Linked DNA regions of Arabidopsis thaliana. The protein of the gene in region 4 interacts with the protein of the main gene of each other region in a biochemical or structural test. Each region holds a gene or a part of one and is shown on either strand. Other genes may lie near its edges.

The links.
Region 1: the proteins of VDAC3 (region 4) and FBA6 interact in far-western blotting, tested with the Arabidopsis thaliana proteins (one study listed by BioGRID).
Region 2: the proteins of VDAC3 (region 4) and ATHM2 form a complex in vitro, tested with the Arabidopsis thaliana proteins (one study listed by BioGRID).
Region 3: the proteins of VDAC3 (region 4) and KP1 form a complex in vitro, tested with the Arabidopsis thaliana proteins (one study listed by BioGRID).

What each region holds. Positions count from the first base shown.
Region 1 is NC_003071.7:15,295,829-15,300,738, reverse strand, and holds FBA6 (Aldolase superfamily protein), read left to right. Parts: upstream 1-1,984; 5' UTR 1,985-2,351; coding exon 2,352-2,379; exon of another isoform or gene 2,380-2,599; intron 2,600-2,676; coding exon 2,677-2,904; exon of another isoform or gene 2,905-2,989; coding exon 2,990-3,810; 3' UTR 3,811-4,126; downstream 4,127-4,910. Other genes in the region: AT2G36470 (DUF868 family protein, putative (DUF868)), read left to right, coding at 371-1,354. UniProt on the Arabidopsis thaliana protein: Fructose-bisphosphate aldolase that plays a key role in glycolysis and gluconeogenesis. Associates with GAPC1 to the outer mitochondrial membrane, in a redox-dependent manner, leading to binding and bundling of actin.
Region 2 is NC_003075.7:1,561,413-1,566,450, forward strand, and holds ATHM2 (Thioredoxin superfamily protein), read right to left. Parts: upstream 2,793-5,038; 5' UTR 2,644-2,792; coding exon 2,400-2,643; intron 1,984-2,399; exon of another isoform or gene 1,825-1,983; intron 1,490-1,824; coding exon 1,173-1,489; 3' UTR 791-1,172; downstream 1-790. UniProt on the Arabidopsis thaliana protein: Thiol-disulfide oxidoreductase that may participate in various redox reactions. May activate NADP-malate dehydrogenase.
Region 3 is NC_003074.8:16,282,028-16,290,253, reverse strand, and holds the start of KP1 (kinesin-like protein 1), read right to left. Parts: upstream 6,422-8,226; 5' UTR 6,033-6,421; intron 5,723-6,032; 5' UTR 5,650-5,722; coding exon 5,553-5,649; intron 4,514-5,552; exon of another isoform or gene 4,405-4,513; coding exon 4,241-4,404; intron 4,043-4,240; coding exon 3,896-4,042; intron 3,731-3,895; coding exon 3,353-3,730; intron 3,212-3,352; coding exon 3,143-3,211; intron 3,049-3,142; coding exon 2,821-3,048; intron 2,688-2,820; coding exon 2,606-2,687; intron 2,524-2,605; coding exon 2,428-2,523; intron 2,341-2,427; coding exon 2,161-2,340; intron 1,988-2,160; coding exon 1,881-1,987; intron 1,776-1,880; coding exon 1,597-1,775; intron 1,503-1,596; coding exon 1,338-1,502; intron 1,246-1,337; coding exon 992-1,245; intron 901-991; coding exon 737-900; intron 658-736; coding exon 463-657; intron 372-462; coding exon 1-371. UniProt on the Arabidopsis thaliana protein: Required for keeping the ATP levels stable and balancing the aerobic respiration pathways during seed germination at low temperature.
Region 4 is NC_003076.8:4,887,965-4,893,423, forward strand, and holds VDAC3 (voltage dependent anion channel 3), read right to left. Parts: upstream 3,640-5,459; 5' UTR 3,426-3,639; coding exon 3,377-3,425; intron 2,921-3,376; coding exon 2,853-2,920; intron 2,670-2,852; coding exon 2,559-2,669; intron 2,456-2,558; coding exon 2,369-2,455; intron 2,276-2,368; coding exon 2,067-2,275; intron 1,978-2,066; coding exon 1,677-1,977; 3' UTR 1,559-1,676; exon of another isoform or gene 1,329-1,558; intron 1,207-1,328; 3' UTR 1,000-1,206; downstream 1-999. Other genes in the region: AT5G15080 (Protein kinase superfamily protein), read left to right, coding at 89-591; PIN8 (Auxin efflux carrier family protein), read right to left, coding at 4,195-4,261, 4,363-4,439, 4,522-4,679, 4,766-4,851, 5,183-5,372, 5,448-5,459. UniProt on the Arabidopsis thaliana protein: Forms a channel through the mitochondrial outer membrane that allows diffusion of small hydrophilic molecules. The channel adopts an open conformation at low or zero membrane potential and a closed conformation at potentials above 30-40 mV.

The DNA.
Region 1 (4,910 bases), on a different chromosome or scaffold from region 4:
TCTTCCATTTCTTCTCTGCAACTTCCGTACCAAAAAATACATAAAGCCCTAACTAATATTATTTCTCCACCAAGTTTCTTTATCTTTTAGTTTCCCGGTAAAAAATCTCTCTGTCATGTCTTATGTTCTTCCACGTCGTTCCTAATCTCCCAAGACAGAATCTCTAAACTTCATTTTGCTCCTTTTCCACACAAAACTTTCTCTCCCTCCAAAGACCACAAAAAATGTTCTTCCTTCCTTCAACTTCAAGTATCTCTCTTTATTCACACGTATAGCATCCAAAACCAAAAATCTATAACCTTTTCCTCTGTAAAGTTTCTTCCTTTCTAACCTTCCCGAGAAAAAAACAAACCCTTTCTGTTAGAAAACCATGAGAGGTCTCGCGGCTTGTTACAGTGAACACGCCATTAAAGTATCAGATACATATTGTTCAGGTCCATCGAATCATTCCTATATATCTCCGACATTACCTCCTTCAATCCCCGACACAGTAACCACCACTTATAGATCCAATCTCCCATCTTCCGACAAACCCGTCTCTGTTTCACTCACCTGGTCGGATAATCTCACCGTCGTCATCTCAACGCCGCCGAAATCATACTCTGTTTCACTCAGAAAACCTAAAGGATCAAGAAAGTTGACTTCTTCCTCCGGTTCACTCAACGCCGAGATCCTCTGGGATCTATCGGAAGCAGAGTACGAAAACAACGGACCTGAACCAATAAGAAGATTCTTCGTCGTCGTCGTTGTAAATTCCGAGATTACCCTCGGAGTCGGCGACGTTGACCACGAGCGAGACACGTCATCATCGTCGTCGTGGCGAGTCTCAAAAACGGAGAGATTCTCTGGAACTTGTTGGCTCACGACGAAAGCTCAATTCTCCGACGTCGGAAGGAAACACGAGATACAGATTCAATGCGGCGGAGGAGGAGGAGGAGGAGGAGAGGAAGGGTATTTATGGAAAGTGAAAAGTCCTGAAACGATGTCGGTTTATGTTGATAAGAGGAAAGTGTTTTCGGTGAAGAAGCTTAAGTGGAACTTTAGAGGGAATCAAACCATGTTTTTCGATGGAATGCTTATAGACATGATGTGGGATTTACACGACTGGTTCTACAAAGAAACGTTGTCGTCTGTTTCGACTAGTTCATCGTCTAAAACGGCGTCGTCGTCATCGTCTTCTTCAACTTCATCGTCTACTCCTCCGTGTGCTGTGTTTATGTTTAGGAGGAGGAGTGGTTTGGATAGTAGATTATGGATTGATGAAGATGAACAAGAGAGTGAGATGAAGAAGAATATTGGTTCTAGAGATGAGAAACATTCGTTTTCACTTATCATTTGTGCCTCTAAAAAGTGACCAAATAAACAAATAAACATTTTAACATAACTCTTCGTTGTCTGAAATTTTAATTTTAAGAATATTTTGTGTTGCATTTAGGTATATCTGATAGGTTGATTAGATCAAATGTTTTTGTGTTTTTTCTCTGCCAAATGTTCGTGAGAATGCAAGAGATATTCAAATTGTGTTCATCAAAACTAAAATTTATATTCAAAACCGTGGATGGCAAACTATGCATAAGATAAAATGTACATAATTTTTGTTATCTTCTAAAATAAATGTACCTAATTTAATAGCCTAATAATATCTTCTAAAGTTATTAACTTTTGTTTATGACAATGATGATGATAGGAGCATTTTCGATATTTCCAAAAAAAGAAATGGAAAGGACATTGCAACAAAATTGAAAATTCAAACAAACAAACAAAATAAAAAGTGCAGCTAGGGGATAAAATTCAAAAGGCAGGATAGAAAATAAACAAGAAAGAATTCATGAATAAATAAAAACACTAGAAGTTGAAATTCTGAAAAATACTTGAAAAGAATTGATACAATGAATTTGATGATTCATTGTCCGAATTAGACTACTCACAGTCTCACATAAATATCAATTCTAAATTTTTGGTTCCAAGATCTCAAAGTCTTCACTTCTCATTTTGTAAACACAATTTTTTTCAAGGGAAACAAAAATTGAATCATTTTACCTGAGGAATATTATTGGGCTACAATGGGCCGTAGTGAGGCCGAAGTCACACCTTAAATAGAACGTGGTAGAAGTTACTATAATATTAGAGTTACAAACCAGTAATCACGGAAGTAGTAAAAACGGCCCATAGAAAGTATAAACAATCCAACGGCTGAAAAAGCTTACCTTGGAGAAGAGTCCAAAATATCTTCTGGAAGCTACCATCACTCTCTCCTATATAACTCAAAATTCACCATCATCTTCATCATCATCATCATCATCATCCTTTCTTTATCCAACTTTCTTCACCAAATCGATTCTTCTTCAACCATGTCTTCCTTCACCTCCAAATTCGCCGGTAACACTTCATCTCTCTTTCTCAGTACTCTGTTTATCAATTTTCTGCACAATCGATATTAATTTGTGTCACAAGTTTGGATTCTTCGTTGATACGGTGCTACTTTGATGCGATCTCGTCTTCTGCACTAAAAATTGATAGATTATCCGATCACGCACATCAGAATGATTTTAGCTGTCTTCGATTTGGTTTTTAGGTCTTACGGTTTAACGTTTTTGAGGTTTATATAAAGGCTTTGGACTAGTTGTTTAAGTGATCTGACTATACGAGTCTAATTTTTGGGTTTTGCTCTTGCAGATGAGCTGATTGCTAACGCTGCTTACATCGGAACACCTGGAAAAGGTATCCTTGCGGCAGATGAATCAACTGGTACTATTGGGAAACGTCTCGCTAGCATCAACGTTGAGAACGTTGAATCCAACAGACGTGCTCTTCGTGAGCTTCTCTTCACTACTCCTGGAGCTCTTCCTTGCCTCAGTGGTGTTATCCTCTTTGAAGAAACTCTTTACCAGAAGAGCTCTGATGGTAATTGACAGTTTAACATCGCTATATGTCTGAATCTGTGTATCATCGTTGACTTTGATTGGGGTTGATTTTGGTTGTGATGCAGGTACGCCTTTTGTTGATATGTTGAAGAGTGCAGGAGTTTTGCCTGGTATTAAGGTTGATAAGGGTACCGTTGAGCTTGCTGGAACCAATGGTGAGACTACTACTCAAGGTCTTGATGGTCTTGGTGACCGTTGCAAGAAATACTACGAGGCTGGTGCTCGTTTCGCCAAGTGGCGTGCGGTTCTTAAGATTGGTGTTAATGAGCCATCTCAGTTAGCTATCCATGAGAACGCTTATGGATTGGCTAGGTATGCTGTCATTTGTCAGGAGAACGGTCTTGTGCCGATTGTGGAGCCTGAGATTCTTGTTGATGGCTCTCATGACATTCAGAAGTGTGCCGCGGTGACAGAGCGTGTTCTTGCAGCTTGCTACAAGGCTCTGAGTGATCACCATGTCTTGCTAGAAGGAACACTCTTGAAACCTAACATGGTTACTCCAGGATCAGAGAGTGCGAAGGTTGCACCAGAGGTGATTGCTGAGCACACTGTCCGTGCTCTTCAGAGGACAGTTCCAGCTGCTGTTCCAGCCATAGTGTTCTTGTCTGGTGGACAGAGCGAGGAAGAGGCGACAAGAAACCTTAACGCGATGAACCAGTTGAAGACAAAGAAGCCTTGGTCGTTGTCTTTCTCCTTTGGAAGGGCGTTGCAGCAGAGCACTTTGAAGACTTGGGGAGGAAAAGAGGAGAATGTGAAGAAGGCTCAAGAAGCGTTCTTGGTCAGATGCAAAGCTAACTCTGAAGCAACACTTGGTGCTTACAAGGGTGATGCTAAGCTCGGTGAAGGTGCAGCTGAGAGCCTTCACGTTAAGGATTACAAGTACTGAAGAAAGAGGCTGAGGATCGTAGTTTTTATATCATCGTTTATGTTCTTGCTTTCACTTTCTCTGTTTTTTGTTTGGTGTTTTGTTTAGAAGAGTGGTGGCACCAAAGAACCCCGTTTATACTTTTTTATGAGGTCTTTGTGTTCTTATGAAGCCTTTTTAAAAATGAATATTAGCTTGTTGGGTTATAATTTAACATTATCAATAGTGACGACATTTGGGCGGTTGTATAGTTCATAATGTCTACCAAACTCAAGAAAATAGAAAAGATCATCGAAATATTTTGGACTCCCAACTTTGAAACCCAAAGGTAACATACAATCTCTAAAAGGCCTCCTGGCACAACAGAAGAACAGGCCAGTGAGGCTACCAACCATGCTTACACATTTCAACATCCATATTTTTTAGCATTAGAAAACTCTTTTCTTTTGAATGTTGTATTTATTCAATCAAAACGAAATATGTACATATTCTTTTTTTCTTTTGTATCAGTGATCTACTTGCAAACTTTTTGGAATCCTTTGATATCACCACTATTTCTACGTTGAAAGGATTTACCGACTGCTTTAATAATATAGTTAACATTCTACCTAGTAATTAATTTATGGCATAAGAAGTAAGATCAAAAGCAAAATTTTTACTAGACAATGTATTTTATATACACAAAAAGCTTTTGTTAGGCAAGCATTAAAGCTAGCTTACCATTATTAAAATATATATATATATATATATATATATATTTATTAGAATCATTCTCTACGTAGTCAATAGAATAATTAGTTTTGATTTTTCGTTAGTTACAACAACAAAATATCTGAGAATTGAGAGACTTTGAGAACATATAGACACCATACTTGGAGACTTTGAGAACAAATAGTATAGACACCACAACTTTCACTTAGACTTTGGGAAACTATAATGAAACCAAGTATTTACTACACCGTGGGTTAGTTATAGATTCAAATTAAGTGGTATTTGTAGCCAATACATTAGTTAGCATATGAATCTAGTACTTGTTCTGATTTATTTTCTGTTAATCAAGTTTAATTAATTAGTTTACAATGTTTATGCTTGATTTTTACATAGATATCCGACAGCCTAGT
Region 2 (5,038 bases), on a different chromosome or scaffold from region 4:
CCGATATTGACTTGCCTTTGTTTCGATATTTCACACTTGTTCTAATTTTGATCATTATGCTCATGTTCCATTTATGTACGTCGTCGTGACTTCTTAGGTCGCGAAAGTTGATACAATCAAAAGGACACGAGAAGACCATTTACAAAGTCCAAATCATAATATTATAATGAAAGTTGTTTGATACAAACAAAAGTCACGAAAATGCATTTATAAAAGTCCAACTGATCTATTATTATAAAACCGGATTGCATCTTTCTTTTGACCTTATCTTCAGCCTAAATATATAATTCTCAAACCAAGGACGGCAACCAAAAAAAAAAAAAAAAGACATTACCAATAGAGAGGTTTCATCAGATTTAACACTTTCGTTCAGACCTAATATATTAGAATATTTTCTTGGCAATCTAAAACTAAAACTTTATGAACTAATCATATAATTTATCTTCTTGATATTTCTGATTTATATTGTCCAAACTAAATAACTTGGTTTTGGTCGAACTTTAGTCATAGACCGGATCAACAACTCTAAAACCTCAAAAGCTTGTCGGGAACTGTGGGATCAGTCCAAAAATAACTCAATTCTTTCGGCTATTATTCATTTTGTCCTAATTGACATATCCTTATCCACAAATTGGGTACACATAAACTATGGTGGATGAATTTCTTTGCTTATGCAAAAATAAGGAGATATTTCGAACGTATTTATTCTCTTTTGCTCGTGGTCGATAAAGACCTTTTTCAGCTGAATACGTATATTCTTTCTTTAGATTAGGACATGTATGAACCTTTAGCCCCTTTTGCATACATGTGCTCATTCATTAGAGTGTCGCATAATATCTTTTAATACGAGGAGTTTTAGAATAAGTAACAAACCTTAGCGTGTGTTCATCAAAAAACTTGCAGAACCAAACAATCTTAAGATCTCTCTCATGACCAAAAAAAGATTGGTGGAATCATTTTAATGTGGTTCCATTAGTCTAGTCCAAGATTGTTCTTTGATACCTTTAGTTCCGCATCTCAAAACATCTTCAAACCAGTAAAAATGACATAAGACATGACATCATATTATTTATCCAGGTCTAGATGTTCAGTGATAATGAGTTACAGAGATAATGAGAACAAGAACGAGAGACAGAGAGATACGAGATCTTACAGACTCCACAAGTGATATTTCATGGCAAGAACTTGTCGAGGCTAGATGTGAGTGTGGTTTTGGGCACTGCACCTATGATTGTATCCTTCTTCTCGCCACCGACAAAGATCATGATCGTTGGGATGCTTCTAACTCCGTACTGGCCGGGAGTATTAGGAGATTCATCAGTGTTTAATTTGTAGAACTTGATCTTCCCAGTGTAATGCTGTGCTAGATCGTTTACAAGCGGATCAATCATCTTGCAAGGTCCACACCATGGTGCCCAAAAGTCGACAACTACAGGCCCAGTTGCTTTAAGAACTAGAGAGTCCCATGTCGAGTCATTGACCACTTGAACTGCAGGATCAATAACACAAATCAACACCTTATTGCCAAAGCTTTTAGAATCATGAATGAAAACAAAATATATCAGCCAAGGTGGACGAATAAAACAAAGAGACAGCTGACCCGTTTATCCATCTTCAGCTAGATCAGTATGTTGTAGCAAGTCTATATGATATTTCCTAAAAATGATCTAGAAGTGAAAGTTTTTCAAAATAGAAATTTGATAGATCCAGTGAAGGATAAAGCTTTATGTTTTCACCAGAGAGGAGAGACCAATGACTGAGTTAACATTGTAGCAGATAATACTGCTAATCTCACCAAACACATTATCACGGAAAAGGACTTACCTATCTAAAATCGTAGAATATCAATGCTAGTGATAACCAAAATCGTTATCTGCTGGTATAGAGAATCAAGATATGTTTACTCTAAAGCACAAAAAGCAACATTCTTCTCTCATGAGCCAAATAACTGTTTCTTGTCACAATGTGTATGATCCAACCAATAAAATATCTGAGTAGGTACCCAACCTAATTTCTAGGTTTGTTAGAGAGACTTTGCATTAATCAAGTAAAATATCCCCAAAAAAGAAGTGATCCTAAAAAGCAACCTTCTTCAAATTTCACGCAAATGGCATGAATCGTTCCTCTAACAGAAACCTCATTTTCAGCAAGAATTTTCTCAAAAGGTATACTCTCCTAAAGAAACTCTTCTTCCTCCTCCAGATTCACTAATCTGTAACTAATCTCAAGTTTTTAGCAGATTACTAAATGCTACAACAAGAACAACAACACAAATTCAAGCACCTTGCTTCTAATTTCCCTCGCACAAATCAATAATCAGTTCTCAAAATCCACCAACGAGCACGAATCAAAGACAAGTTAATAACCAAAATCGAAAAAGGAATAGTGAGAAAACATACTATCGGTAGTAGTTTCCTGAGCTTCACAGACGACGGCTCTTCGTAATCGAGAAACCCTAGGTTGATGAATCGAGGTCAACGAAGCCGGAGAGAGAGAAAGACGGATTCTCAAACCTGATGATTCCGGTAAGACGGCGAACATCCGCCGAGAAGAGAGAGAAGAAGCCGATGGTGATGAGGATACGATTCTGGTCTCGGAGCGGAGAGAAATCGGAGGACGAGAGGTACAAGTGAAAGCAGCCATGGCTATAGATAGAGAGAGGAGAGGTTTCTCCAAATCCCCAAGTGAAAAAATAATATCCAGATAGATAGAGAAAATAAAAAGATAACGAAACTAATGGAAGAGAAAATGTAGACAAAACACTGATGCAGATTTTTTATATATACATCAACACAAACAAATATTTTTGGAAAAATAAGTATTTCTACTAAAAATACAATTAAAATACAGTTGTGAAAAAAATCGAGAAATAATAAATTGAAATATTTTTGAATTTTTTTGATTTGTTGAGCTGTAGATATCATTTGCCCAAAATAACCGAAAAAAGTAGAAAACGAAAACATATTGTAAATTGTTTTTTTAATTGTTTGGGTAAGATAGTGCTCTGACTAAGCCCATCTGTAATAAGCCCATAAAACTTTTGAGATATTTTTTATTGGGCTCATATTAGGCCAGTTGCACTTTTTTTTTTTAATCCAGTCACTTGTGGATTTAACAGAAATTTTAACAAAGTTCCGTTACCCGCAATTTGTGATCTCGGGTCAATTTAATGACTATTTTGGCAACATCAACAAAAAGTTAGCGACTGAAATAAGAAGTCACTAAAAGTTGACTATTGAAATGAAAAGTCAATAAAATTTAAACGTATTATTTTACCCCACACTAATTTTTTTTTTTTTTTTTTTTTTTTTGTATTTTTGAACATTTGAAGATCTCCTGACATTTTTTCGCAATTGTTTTTCTCAAAATTTTCTTTAAAAAAATAAATAAATTATAACGCTTGCTTATAAGATAACTAAAAGTCTAAAATTTTGAATAAAAAACTATTTGGCATGAAAAATTCGCTTTTGTTAACAATTTTCTTCAAAATTGGTTCGTTGAATCCTAAATAATATCTGATGACAAAAAAAAAGATTATAGCAAAAGTATTTTCTTGGAAAACCAACATTTTAAAACTTGATTGGTAATGGTATGACAATTAGCTCTTGAAAAATGAAAACAAAAACAAAATCTTAAAAATCTATAAAACTTTCAAAACCAACATTTTGGATCTGCCTCTTTTTCTTTTTCTTATATACCTCTAGTATTGAGGAACCACTTCAAAGTCTTTCCTCTGATGTCACTTTAGCTCGCTGACATCTCTTCTACTCCTCAATTTCTTTATAATCTCGGTAGATCTCTCTACTAAAGAAATTCCTCCTTTCTTGGTTTCTTCTCAATATTTTGTTTTATTTTTGTTTTCTCTTTCCACATGTCTCTTTTTATTATGTTACAAAAATTTCCTCAATGTTTTCTACGATGTTAGGTTCAATGCGTCCGGTCACCACTTATGTTTTCACTGTAAGAACTCATTATTCCCCAGCCCTATGCGAAGAAAGAAAATGGTGGTAGCTAGAGACCAAGTGATGGATTTTTACAAACGTGTTCATAGTGTCCTCACAGATAAAGAGTTGTCGAAATTAGAAGATTTGAGGCAGCTTATTCGATCAAAATAATCTTACAATAAAGAAGTTATCTTCAACACCGACATCATATCTCTTTTATATGATTCACAGTGTCATTGATGAAATGAAAAGTTGGTTGATAATATTTGTTGCGTTGGGGATGGGTTATTTGATGTTCGAATCCTGGGTTTTGTTTAAAAATTTCGTCTATTAATGTATATAGCTTAGATTGTTGTATATAAGCTTAGTTTGGTTAGTATAGATTTCATATAGAGTCTGTACAGGTTGGTATTCTATAAACCAATCTTAATTTTGGTTTAGAGGCTTATGGTTTAGGCCAATATCAGTTTGTATATAAACCCCCAATTGTACTCTTTTGCTAATTAATGAGAATGAGATTGTTTTACTAATATGGTATCAGAGCAAAATATCTCGATCTCAGTCTCGTAACAAACTTTTCCGATTTGATTTCACTGGAATCTCACCGGAGTTTGTTCATCTTCTCATTTTTTTTCTTCTCTTGAACTTCTACACGTTTTCTCTTCGTTTCCTTTGCGATCCAGTCTCATTTGTTAGCTGTTTCGATTCTCCATGGGTAAACGAAATGGAAAGAGTGTTCGTCGGAGTAGTTCACCGGATCTACTTGTCATTGCTTCATCGAAGATTCATGAGCAGTCTTCTGGTTCATCAGCAAGAGCTCCAGGATCCTCGATTCATGCTGCGATTCATCAACCAGCTCAATACAGCTCATCGCGTCACTTTGAGGTATCGGATTCTCCTGATAATAGTCACAGTCCTTATCATCTTGTTAGCTCCGATCATCCTGGTTTAGTCTTAGCTCCAGAACTGTTAGATGGAAACAGCTATGGTACCTGGATTATAGCCATGACTACTAGCATTGAAGCTAAGAATAAGCTTGGATTTGTGGATGGATCTATTCCAAAACCTGATGATGATGATCCTTATTGCAAAAT
Region 3 (8,226 bases), on a different chromosome or scaffold from region 4:
TGTTCCTCCTCGATCTCAGGGAAGAGCTTTCGAGCGCTTAACTTCTGATGATTTTGAAATGCCTCTGAAGAGTTATCAGTGTGAAGCCTGTGGTTATTTTCTGCTGATGGGTTCAATGGAACAGTTGAAAAGGATTTGACTACTGGTACTCTAGCTGGAAAAGGTGTTCTTGAAACCGGAAGGTTTTGGGTAACGTCGGGCTTATTCCTACTTTTGATGGTTGATGCTCTGTCTGTGGATAGTGATCTCCTACTTGGACTCGGATTTAACCTCTCTTCTGCTAGATTCGGCATCCTCGGGCTTGCTTCTCTATTTCTCAGTGCAGACGGAAACCCTGACTTTCTCTGCTTGCCAGTTGAGCAACTTCTGGTCTGCAAATGGCATTCACCAAACTGATTAGATAAAAGTCTCTTTTACCAACAGATCAATAAAAAAGAAAAATCTAGTCTCTGAGTGATTTACCTCGTAGCTTCTGGTACCGTCGTTTGGCTGTGGACTTGCCTCAGCCTTTGTTCCAGCACCGTTACCAGTTCTTGGGAGATGGAAAGGAGAAACTGCTCTTGCTCTCTGACATTCAGTTGTGTTCCGAATGCTACCTGATCGCAATTGTTCCAGCTCTGCTTCCTTCTTCTCCATGGCCGATTTAAGGCTGGATATCTAAATATGTGGAAGAAAGATTGTTACAACATATTTATTAAGATTTGCACAACGAAAATGAAACTGATGCCATATGTACCTCATCCTTAAGATCTCGAATTTCACCGGTTTCCTTGTTTGATCGAGCTGCTCCAAGCTCAATGGATGCAACCCTTTGGGCAAACTTAAGGGTGCTGATAGTCTCCCCTACCGCATTAACTTCAGGATTAATATGTACAAACATTAAAGTTTTTGCTTGTCCACCTGCACATAGTTTCATAGATGAGAGATGAAGCTACAACAAAGCACGGGGAAATAAAATGGCTTGCAAAACTTAGTTTTTGTGTTCGTTTACCTAAGGAGTCCTGCAGAACTTGTGTAAGCTTGCTATTTCTGTAGGGAACGTGGGAACTCTTTTGTGCAAGTGCATAAATGACATCTCCTAATGCAGACAACGATTTGTTTATGTGTTGAGCTTCTTTGAGTCTCTCGCCTACAGCTTCGGATTTTTCTACTCTTTCACTTCCAGCCAAATCCACTAAATGAAGGCAGCCTCTTAAAATGGATCCTGAGGCCAATTCTTTTCCTTGGACGTGAACAGTTAATACACTGCAGTAGAACACACAGCATTCAACGACTATTATATGATCATAGGAAAATTTTAAAGCTTGAATTAAGCACTGGTATAAACAAAGATTTACCTATGAGAACGGCTGCTCCTCTCATTCAAAGCAGTGGCACCCACAGCACGATTCTTTTGGCCAATCCTCATCAAATCAAGGACATCTCGAGTATTAGAAACTGGAATCAAGTTTGCATCGGGTACATTAAGGCCATTGAGTTGAGAATTATTGCGTATGTCTAATGTGAGAAACTGGTCAAGGATTACGGGATTCTCAGAGGAAACACTCGAGAAGAATATGTAAATATTTCAACACTATAAAGTATATGAAAGGATATCTTCTGGAGGAACCATCACTGACTAGTAGATCTCTAACTTGTTCATTATATATTTCGATCATTTGGACTCCAATTTCATAAGTCACCACATGTGTTCTTGCATTTGAAAGCTGGAAGAGATCGCGTAGAGCTCGGTAGTTCACGCCCCAAGTTGTCTCCGTCATCAGATCTGGCCCACTCTGTAAGGCAAAACAGAGACAAACCAATGTCAAAGGCAGAGTAAGAAATAACAATGTCTGACGGTTTATGGGAGTCACCATGCAAGCAAATAGAAATGGTCATACCATCGTATACGTTTTCCCTGAACCGGTTTGCCCATACGCGAAGATACAAACATTGAATCCGTCGAGGACGGACCTTATTACCGGTTGAGTGTCAATGTAGATTTGCTCTGGTAAGTAAACAACCAAATATCAATAGACAAGAAATTAAGCATCATGAAAATAGTTAGGTGGTGCAAAACCAACCAATTCAAAGCTAAGTCATATATAACAAAAGTCTCAAAATATCTTTGAAAATTTGAATGCACTTGGAGATGGACATCGATGGAATAACAAAACATACCTTGTGAGACAGTCTGTCCAAATACTTTGTTGAAGGAAAATATTTTCCGTGCATCTTTCTCCTGCTTGAAAGGATTGTTAATGATAATATTACCATTTTCTCCAATATAATCCACAGTTGATTGCATATCTTTTTGTTCTTGGAAGAAAGGTCTGACTCTGCAGTAAACTCTAATGGTGCCTACAGTACAACGAAAACAGAAGTTGATACACTACAAAATACTAAAACTCAAATGCAACTATGCAAGGATGTAGTAGGTCGTGGTACCTTTGAGATCTTGAACCTCATTGTAAAGTAAGCGATTTTCCTCCAGAACCTTGTGGTAAGAAGAAGATGTAACTTCCATGGCCTTAACGTGATGGACTGCCATAGAGGATGATAGAGATTGATCATGTAATCTCTAATTACCGAGAAGAGAAAATTTGGGTATAAGAAGATTCATTACCTATCCTCTGAAGCTCTTTCTGCCATTCTGACTGCATTTGTTTAACTTGGCTTCTTGTTTCCACAAAATTTGATTTAACTTCCTACATGAGTTCATCAAAGCAAGAAATCCATTCCGTAAATTCAAGATTCTTACACAGCTTTCATTTACGAATTGACCAAATGAGAAAGTTCGAAAGCAAGAGAAAGTATTGGAAGAGAAATGTAAATTCTGACCTCCAGCTCTTTCTGTTGAAGACCAATAGCTTCTACATGACCCGGAGAAAATTCGCGGGCGTTTAGTCTACTAAACTCAAGCTTTCCGCCACATTTACAAAACTTTGAAAACTCCTTTGACACCAAATCTTTTCTGTGCTGAAGGTATCTGAAGACTGCTGCTAGAAACTCTGATCTTGACAGATCCCCGTTATCACATTTCAGTATTTTCCTTAGAAACGAACCCAGCTGCAAATAGATACCAAAAAATAATTGTAAACCCTGGAGAAATGTCTCACCATTCGAAAAGAATTCCATGAAGAGTATGCAGAGTAAGTAGTACCTGAGCTCCCTGAGAAACTAGTATTGCAGAGAAATCCTTAACTACCCTGTTCAGCAATGTATCAATCACCTATAAAAGTAACCAAAAACTGAGAAGGTGAAACACGATATATTATTCGAGTCTTTAAATGGTTGATTCAACAGGAGTTAAGGTTTTCACATTGCGTAACTTACAGAGCAATCAAACATAACTCAAACATGTCTTACCTACCATTTCATTTAAAGGCATATCATTGATCCCATCACTCTCCTTAAGGTAACCATGTAGAAGCTGAAGCGCGAAATGATCAAAAAGAAAAGCCAAGGAGATTGCAGTTTCAGATTCCTCAGCTGAGATCTCATTAGAAAGATGAAGAAAATCCAAAAGCTGGTCATACTGAGAAGACTCAGATTCATCCAAAGAAACAGACTCATCGGTAGTACTTTCACTACCAATCCCATACTGCGGCGGAGAACTGCCTTTTCGATTGAATGATACTATCCTCACAGTCCCTCCATACCTCCATACTCCAACTCCACCCGCTTGTTTCCACTCGTAAAAACCTTTCAAACACAAAATACAATCTACTACTTTGTTCGACGATCCTCCCTGCAAAAACAGAAGCCAAAAAAAAACAATCTTTCATATCCTAAACAACTTACGAAATGCATCATTCATCATATTATCATTCTCTGGGGAATTTCATCGAACATAACATATGCATATGCCAAAAGATAAAGTAAACAACTACATAATGTGATATTGAAATAGAACCTTCTCGAGATCAGAAGCTCCAAATGTTAAAAGCTGCATATCCTCTACAGCTTTAAGAAAGTTCCTCATGTTCTCAAAATATTGAATTGCCGATTGCGCCGCTCCATCCGCGTACTGAATAGCTGGCGTAATCGGATTCTCCACCACCTTATTCAACAATCAAAATCACAAGTAATTCAGAAATTACTCGAAATTGTAGAAGATTAATCACAACAACAACAAAAAAACAAAGTTGAATCAATCACAACAACAACAAAAAAAACTCTTAATCTCATCGGAAAGTAGAAATTAAACCCTAGTTCATTGCATTAGACTAGAAGAATATAGAAGGATTAGAAATTGGACCTTGAGAACAGAACCGGGATTGACTTTGTTGAGGACGTTGCAGAGAATGAGGCCGTTGCGGAGGGCGAGGGAGAACTCGTCTTCCGACGGTTTTTCCGGGAGTGTCTCCATCGCGCCTTGGTCCATCTGTCTCAGCCATGCCACCGCTTGGTATCTTCTCAGAGCTAACGAAATTTGACAATTCACATAAACCCAAAATCAAAAATTCAAAATACATGTTTCTCGAGAAACGTATTATTAATAACGGAAAACTTAACGCGGAAATAAATTGGGCTCAGATATTGATTCAAAGCCCAATATCTTTCCTAATGGGTTTTAAAAAAATATTGTTGTTACTGTTCTTATATATAATCTTATGGCAACTTATGTTGCTTAAGGGAATATTTTTGGCTAAAATACACTAATTGCTTTAGGGAATATATACTTAGATAATCTTACATTTTTTAAGTAAATTACTTATGATTATTTTATTAAATAAACAAATTTTGTTTTCAGTGTATTTAGAGAATTTTCAAAACAATAAGGAAAAATTCAAAAAAAATTCGTAATGCAAATGTTAAAACGGACAATTTGGCACTAAAAATTCGTACCGAACTGCTTTATATCACTTATGTAAAGAATATTTATTAAGATTGACTCTTTTGATCTCTAAATAAAAACTATTGACAAAAAATAATAATAATAGTTTTGTTGGTTTAAAAAATTTTACTTTTTAGCTGGTTACCGTTTGACCATCTGAATTAGTAGAATTTTGCTTTTAAATTTTCTCTATGTAAACACTATTTTTGGATAATTACTCTTTGAGTCCTCGAATTAGCAAGAGTTAATGACATTTCGCTATAGTGGCAAATGCGCTTTTTTGTCAATCCTCACAAAATCACCCTCTTTCCTATTTACCATCTTGTCATCAAGGTTATTTCTTTAATTATGACATAAAATCTACTTAAACAAGCTTTACAAAAATATGTTTTTTCAATTTAAAAGTAATAGTTGTGTTATAGAAAAAAGATTTGGGAGATTATAGAAAATTTGAATTGTATATCCACCATACCAAACATAAAAGTAATAATAGTTTTGCGGTTGTGGTGGGTAACCCTATAATGAAAGCCATATTCCATAAAGCAAATTTCTAAACGACTTTCTCTAAATTCAAATCAAACCCAACGTAATTGTTTTTGAATCACAAAGCTATTATTAACATATATATGGTCCATCTTCGACTTCTTTTTTCTTTACTTTATCTGATTTATATCTTCATTTTCATTATGAAAAACAATTTTAAAAAACAAACAGTGATGATGATGAGACAAACCTGTTTCTTCAGCTTTTCGTTGAGCAAGCTCATAATCTCCATTGCTTGTGGACGACACCACCAAACCCTTTAATCCTCTCATTAATTCTTGTGGCATTTTTTCACCTTTCTTCTTTTATTATTTTTCTGTTGAGTTGATTTATTACTTCTCTTCCACAAGATAGTATTTTCTGAAAACACGGTTTCATCAATACACAACTCTCAAATTCAACAAAAATGATTTTTAAACACTCATTTTGCATTTTACACAGAAATCTTAGCTTTTAGAAGCAACCCGTTTGCTGACGTTAATAGACTATTGTGTGAGAAGACCACATTGTAATTAAAAACAATAATCTTATATCTGTAAATCAAATCCATTGAAGAAGTGATAGATCCCTCTATATCTCTATAATTTGGTCAACTAATTTCACATAAGAGGTCTATCAATAAATGGAGGATTTTTGACTAGATTTAGAAGTGGGACTAGAGAGAACTTACATGCACGAACCTTAATTACAAGTGTTGAACTTGAAGGGACAAGACAATCCACGGATGATGTTGTTCATCGATCACACCATTCGAACCAGAACAAAGAACTTGGGATGATGAGCTCTTGGATGTCGTAACTTCTAAGATGGGATAGAGAGAATAGAGATTTGTGAAGAGGAAAATTAAGAGTTGATTCGTTGCCTTTTGCACTTTATTGTGTGTTTTTTATAACGGGTAGAAGATGGAGAAAGAGAGACGTGTGTAGAGAAAATCAAGTGTTGGTTCACTGTCTTTTGCTTATTTATTCCGTTTTTTTTTTCTTCTTAAAACGTCAAAGCTTATTTCAACTGTTTATCAGGATGTATTGTTATTATGAATTTATTAGTATCTTTCACAAGATAGTTTGGCAAAATAGTTACAAACTTCAATCGTTTTTTTGATGGATTTGGAAATCCGAATCGAAAAGTAAATCTTATGTTTTATTCTTTTTTTGTCGGACACATGAATGGTATAGTTAGTGTAGACTACTTTTTATAGTTGTGAATTGTAATTAGTACTTGTGTTAAAACGTAAAACCCACTCCTCTTCTTGCAGCTCATATGATGGTTGACCTTTTAAATATTCAAGATTGACACGTGGCGAGCATCCATCGAAGTCAGCTAACGAAAACGTACTCTAGTCGTAACTCGTAAGTCGGCCCACCTGATACCTCACTAAGCAGCATTATATGCCCTAAAACAATTCCTCCCTCTTTTTCATATACTTAATTTTGTATATTTTGCTTTCGTATCGTATTTTCAATTTTTTATATGTGTGACTTTGGAATCAATTTATATATATAAGTGACTTTGGAGTAGATTATATATGTTTGAAGTGTTAGGAAAGAGAATATTTCTAAGGACTAAGAAATAAAAACACTGTCTTTTGGAAACACCGAAATTGAACTTGGTAAAGCGATTCAATAATATTATGGAAATTAAATATAATGAACTTATTTTGGATATAATACTGCATTGTTATAGGGAAATACATTTGTGGGTTTTGTTCATATATATTTAGCCGTTATCATTGCCATTATGTAACAACGACTATTGAGTTATACATATAGTTTTAGTTTAAACTTTAGATTAATTTTCGGGTTCAGTTGACCGGTTAAGTTAGATACTTGTATATAAAGAACATATTGTATAGTTTTGCTTCTTTCATGAAAACAGAATTCGTAATCGTAATAAACTCCTCTCTCAATTTCTCCTTCTCTCTAGATTGTATTAGTGACTTTTATAAATTGTTCTTATTTTATTTTTGAAAGTGGTGGGAGATGTTATTTCCACAAAAATAAAAGAAGAAATCATATATGAATAGTAGACGTTGGATCCTATGGAATTCAAATGATTACGGGCGGCACAATGAAAGCTTTCGAGATTGCTTTTTTCTATTCTTTCTTTTCCCACATTTCCTAACCCAATTCAGCGAACCAGTTAATTTATTAACACTAACAAATTACCACAAAAACACAACAGGATTTTCAGTGTTACTCATAAATATTTTCATATGCTATCTTTAAGAAATGTTGTATTTATGAAAATTCTATCTAAAATTTAAAGAAATAGTTATAAATAATTTAACCCAAAAAAAGAAGTTATAATATCTTTTTCAAACAGTATTAATTGGTGTTAGTCTTTAATAGTAACAGATATTATGTGGTTAAAAGTTGAAAACAGTAAATAAGAAAAATGGAAGGTGAAAACAAAAATAAAAGAGAACCCTAGCTTGATGTAGAAGTGTTGTTAAAAGAAAAAAAAAGGCTTGAAGTAGAAGATTGTGATCAGATATGACAGAAGTAATTAGGTGTGATGAGATTGTAATTTCAATCAAGTCTTCTTTTTGTTTGTTCTGTTTTTCATAAACCAATCAATTAAGTTTAAGACATTGAGATTAAAATAAAAAGAAGAAAGAAAGAAGTAGTTATGATCGCAAGAATGCTTTGTTTGTTTGTTGGTCGCATGGTCCATTATTTTCTTTACCATCATTTGCGCATGAATCTCTCTTTTATTTGTTGTGTTTTACCATAAATTGCGCAATAATATCTATGCACTAATATGGGCTGGTTATAAGCGGCCCAAAGGTTTACTCGTGCCCAAGGCTGGCCTGGGATGAATACTTTCATTATATTTAATTCTCATTTTTGTTTTATTATACTCGT
Region 4 (5,459 bases):
GTCCTCTTTGGTTTCATCCATTTTCTTCAACTTGAAAACATTCAATGTTTACATCTTTGTTGATTTGCTTCCTGTTGAACTTGTTAAGGTCACTTGACATCAAAGAGCGATGTTTATAGTTTTGGGGTGGTTCTACTTGAAATGTTGACTGGACGACGATCTATGGACAAAAACCGCCCAAATGGTGAGCACAACTTAGTGGAATGGGCAAGACCGCATCTTCTTGACAAGAGAAGGTTTTACCGGTTACTTGATCCGAGGCTTGAGGGCCATTTTTCAATCAAAGGTGCTCAAAAAGTGACTCAGCTTGCTGCACAATGTCTTAGCCGTGACCCCAAGATTAGGCCAAAGATGAGTGATGTTGTGGAAGCACTTAAACCACTTCCGCATCTGAAAGACATGGCAAGCTCTTCTTACTACTTCCAGACAATGCAAGCTGAACGTTTGAAAAATGGGTCAGGTCGATCCCAAGGATTTGGATCAAGAAACGGGCAACACCAACCCGTGTTTCGAACACTGTCTAGTCCTCATGGTTCTTCGCCTTATCGACATCAGATTCCTTCGCCAAAGCCTAAAGGAGCAACTACATAGCTCTTACGTGGTGGAAATAGGCCACAAACGAACAGAGCTAGAAGGCTCAAGCTTTTATCGTCGTTTTTAAGCAACAAGGAGATATTTTTAAACAACGTTAGGGTAACTCTTTAATTGATTAATAATGTACGATGGAGAAGGGTAAATCCAAATGGAAAAAAAAAAAACTGATTTTGTCTTCCATTGCTGAAAGCATAGAAAAGTTATAAATTGAAAACATTTTTGATGCTCTTTATAAATTGAAAACACCAAGTATCTACCATTTTCAAACGCAAAAGCCAGTATCCCGGAAACAGAGGTATCGTGTTTGTTCATCTACTTCTGGTGGTCAGAATGATAGATTCAAAGTAGAGTACACTCCTTGGCTTATCGTTGGGTTGGGCAATCCAGGAAACAAGTATCATGGAACAAGACACAATCTTTTTCTTTTACTGATTTGCTGGATTTGATCTCGGCAATGCTACAACTTTGTGTTGTTTTCAGGTTGGTTTCGAGATGATCGATGTGTTGGCTCGAAAAGAAGGGGTTTTGATGAACACGATACAGTCCAAAGCTCTAATCGGAATAGGTTCTACTTCTCTTGCTTTTGGTTCTTTGGTTTGAAGAATAATAAAACTGATGACTTTTTGGTTCTATGTAAGAATCAGTACAGGTGCTATTGAAGGTGTACCTATCTTGTTGGCTAAACCTCAGATAAAAATCTGACCAACTAGACAAAATTAATTAGACATGTAAGAAGAACCTCATAGAAAAATCCACTAAGGGAACTCCAAATGGAACAAAGTATAGCAGAGGCAGAAAATAAAAGAGAGAACCAAGTAAAAGATATGGAACAGAGTATTGTAGCAGAGGCGGAAAATAAAAGAGAGAGAGCCAAGTAAAACGATCTTAATGGTTCTTTATCGTCAAAGACGATCCTTTCAATAGTATTTTTCTCTTTTATTTTCTACAAATCCCAACACCGAACAAAAAAAACAAATGAAAGATTGTTTAGCAAACCAGACAGCGATTTGTCCAAAGATTTGAAGACGAAAAAGAAATAACACCTATTCTACCCACTTCAGGGCCCATTTGGTGGTATCTTCTCAGGGCTTGAGAGCGAGAGCAATCCCAACCTTGGCACTCTTATCGATCGCCTTAGAATCAACCTCTCCAGAAACGGTGAAGAACGACTTTGGACGCCACTCATGTTGGATCAGAGCGTTAGCCACACCAGCATTGTTCACTCTTGCCTTCACTGTGGTCAATGGGTCAAGCGCGTGTTGAGTTCCGACAGTGATGGCGTTCTCTTTGGTCGTGAAGTTGTGGCTAATCTCAGCTCCAACCACAGTCGACGGGCTCACAATCTGGTAGTAGGATGCATTCAATTTCTCACCTTTGTCATTCCTGAAAAAAAACAGTTTAAGAAACAACTCTTTTAAAACCAGCAGCATTAAAATCTCAAGTCATCATTTCATATGGAGGGAGGCACTTACAGAATGAGGGAAGCAGTCAAATCATCCTTGGTGAAGTTGAAACCAGCATTGAAATGTTTGAAGTTGCCAGATTCGGTGTTATAGGCCACATCAGTACCAAGAGACAAACCATTGGTTCCAACCACACCGGAGAAGTTGACAATCGGGGTAGCTGTGAATCCAACGCTGGTAGAGATACCAGCATAGTCATGGAAATACTGAACCTCAGCCTGCTCAGAAAACAACAAATAATGGTTATCTCCAACATACCAACCTTTAAAAAAACGGAACAGAAAGAAAAGAAAGCTGGTGGAGTTATATACCTTTCCAGATTTGTGATCGGGCAACTTAGCCTGAACAATAACTTTCAGTCCAGGGGCAGGCTCATCAAAGGTAAGAGTGGTCAAAAGCTGAAATTATTCACACACAAAAAAAAATCAATTGAATACTCCAGCAGCAATCGGCAACATCATATATCTACTAGAAACAGCTAAAGCTAAAAAGTCTACTTACAGAAGAATCAGTGGAAACTTTGACATCAGCAGTGAAGTTGTTGTTCTTCACTTGGGTAGCAACATCACCCAAAAACAAGCTTCCTTTGTTTGTTCCCGTTGTAGTGATCGCCTACAAATTTATCACCATTCGACACAAGAAAGAGTCAAGTGAGAGTACACATGAAAACAAACTGTACAACCAAATTTGACATAACAGAAAACTAGACAAATCTCAATTTTATCACTAACAATAAACCCATCGCACCAACAAAATAGAGAATTGACAGAAATAAAAACAATAATAAAAACTTACAACACCAGTTGAAGAGTAAGTGGTGACACTGAATTTCTGGTCTCCTTGGTAATCCCTGTACAGAAGATCTACAATAGCATTCAAAAACCTTCAGATTCAACTCAAATAGAAAAGTTCAACACGAGACAACTACTCTGTATCCTTGATAGACATTTTCCAGATCCAAGATAAAAAATTTCAAAACCAGCTAATCAACGAGTGACCCAAAAATTGAAACCCAGAGAACCAGTCTTGTTATTCTATCTATACAGATAAACGAAACGGATAGCATAAATCTGACGGAAACGAACACAGATATTATCAATCAGCTCACAAAACACGAATATTTAACTTTTTATGCATCTATTCAAATTTCAACGACCTAAGCGTGACCGATAGAAATCGGAATAAAACCAGGAATGAGAAACCCTAACCGATTCAATGAATATCAACCTAAACCCAGATCAGAAAAGAGCTCAAATGTTTACGAAATGTCAACAACAGTCACATTCGCGTCACCATAGAGAAAGAGAGAGAGATCGTACCTCTGGCCTTTTTGCCGATTTCAGTGTAGAGTCCTGGACCTTTAACCATGATTGCCTCTGGAAAAATCGAAGAAGCTTTGAAAGATTCCGAAGTCGAGAAGAAGAGTAATGGAGGATTCTGGAGAAAATGAGGTGTGGTGTTTGTGTATATAAGGGGAAGAAGAAAGGGTAACCCTAAATTAATTTATATTATAATATTGTATTTCCCTGCTTATCAAGTAAAAATATCTCAGCCGTTAGATTAATATGACATGAGTCGGTGTCCCTCTTTATCAACCGTTGATTATATATTCCCCTCTCTCCAAGGCATTTTTTTTATGTTTTTTATTTGATTTTCGTATTCTTATTTTATTTTTTTATGGCTTTTTTCCATTTTTCATTGCGTGGCAAGCAAAGCAGGCCGTGTACTCTCTAGTTTTCTTCATCCCCAAAATTTATTTATTTTTATATAATTTTTTTTTTGTTGTTGAGTCTTTGACAATGTCTATTTATTTTCTTAGAGTTAACCATCTGAATTGTTCTTATTAATGTGATATTTAAATTTTCTTAAATGGTGTTCTTTTATATTTACTCCTATATAGTATCTATTATCCTATTTTTTAAAAAGAATAAGTCAAAATTTTGATTTTACTAGTTGACATGTTTTTTTCTAATTTAATATCAGGAGAAAAATGATTTACAATAATTAAAGAGAATGGTTGACATTATTAGCTTTATAATTTCAACATCTAAAAAACTATGACTAAATTAAATACCATATAAAATCCAAAATTAAGAGCCTACGTATAAAACATGTTTTTTTTTTGAACATGTCATATTCATAGGTCCAATAGAAAATAATATGCCAAAGTTGTTGGTAAGGCAATTAGCATTCCAAATATCACCCTGAAAAAGCAAAACAATAAAAACCACAAAAATAAATTTCAAAAAAATTGTAATAAGAAGAAGGAAAAAAAAAAATCAAATCAAGAAATATATTTATTTACCCAGTACTAATGATCTCCGGGTGAAGATTATACTCTTTTGCAAAAACAAATGGCACTACTCCTTGAGGCAATGCTGCCTACAACACAATAAATCAATCGACAAAAACATATATATGACAGATTTTATTATTAACGGATTATTAATTTTAATATTTTCACCTGTAATATTGCTACTTTGAAGAGAGTACTTTTTAATCTGATGCAATACGCAGAAGCAATCATAAGAGCAGGTCCTAATACGAACTTGAGCAGCATTGTTATAATCGCCATTTTTGTACCACATGCTATGATACTACTTTGTGATGCCATGAACAGACCTGTTTCATTTTTTGTTAAATTAAATTTAATTTCCAATCATGAAAGTTTAGTTTTTTTTTTTTTTTTGTATAGATATATAGCTTACCTAAGCTGAACATGGCCATTCCTAAGCCTCCATCAGATAATAAATGTATTGATTTATCAATCATCTCAGGCAAATTCCATCCCAATCTATTGGAGAAAATAAATAAAAACATGAGTAACATTTGATACAAACTATTAAAAAAAGAAGCTAATCTTAATAGTTGGGAATATCACTTGACTATCACTTTTCGATTTTAAAATATTAAAAAAAATGAATTTGTAGATGCGAAAAATGATCAAACAGAAAGCTTAAAATAGGGGAAACTCACTACTAAATTATCGCTTTTCTTTTTGAAAAAGAGAAAAGGAAGTGTTTGAATATGTAAGATGATAAAGATTGAATCTTTAGATGTGTAAGATGATTTATCACAAAAGATATGATTGCAGTGTTAAATATAAGAGAGTTTTGTTTTCACACCTGAAATGTAAAGTAGCCCAAATGATTCCGATCAATGTTGCGTATGTATTTGGATTGATTATAAGCTTTCTCCAAGCCTTCAATAGAATCTTCATAGTTCCAACAGATCTTGTTCTCACTATTGCTACTTCTTCTTCGTCCTCTTCTTCTTTTGGCTCGTCCTCTATATTAGCCTCTTCCTGGTCATTGCCTTGTTTTACAAGAAACCAAGATTTAATTAGGGTAAATCATTTTTTATCGAAAAAACGGAATGATTTTTAGTTACCTGTATGTTCTA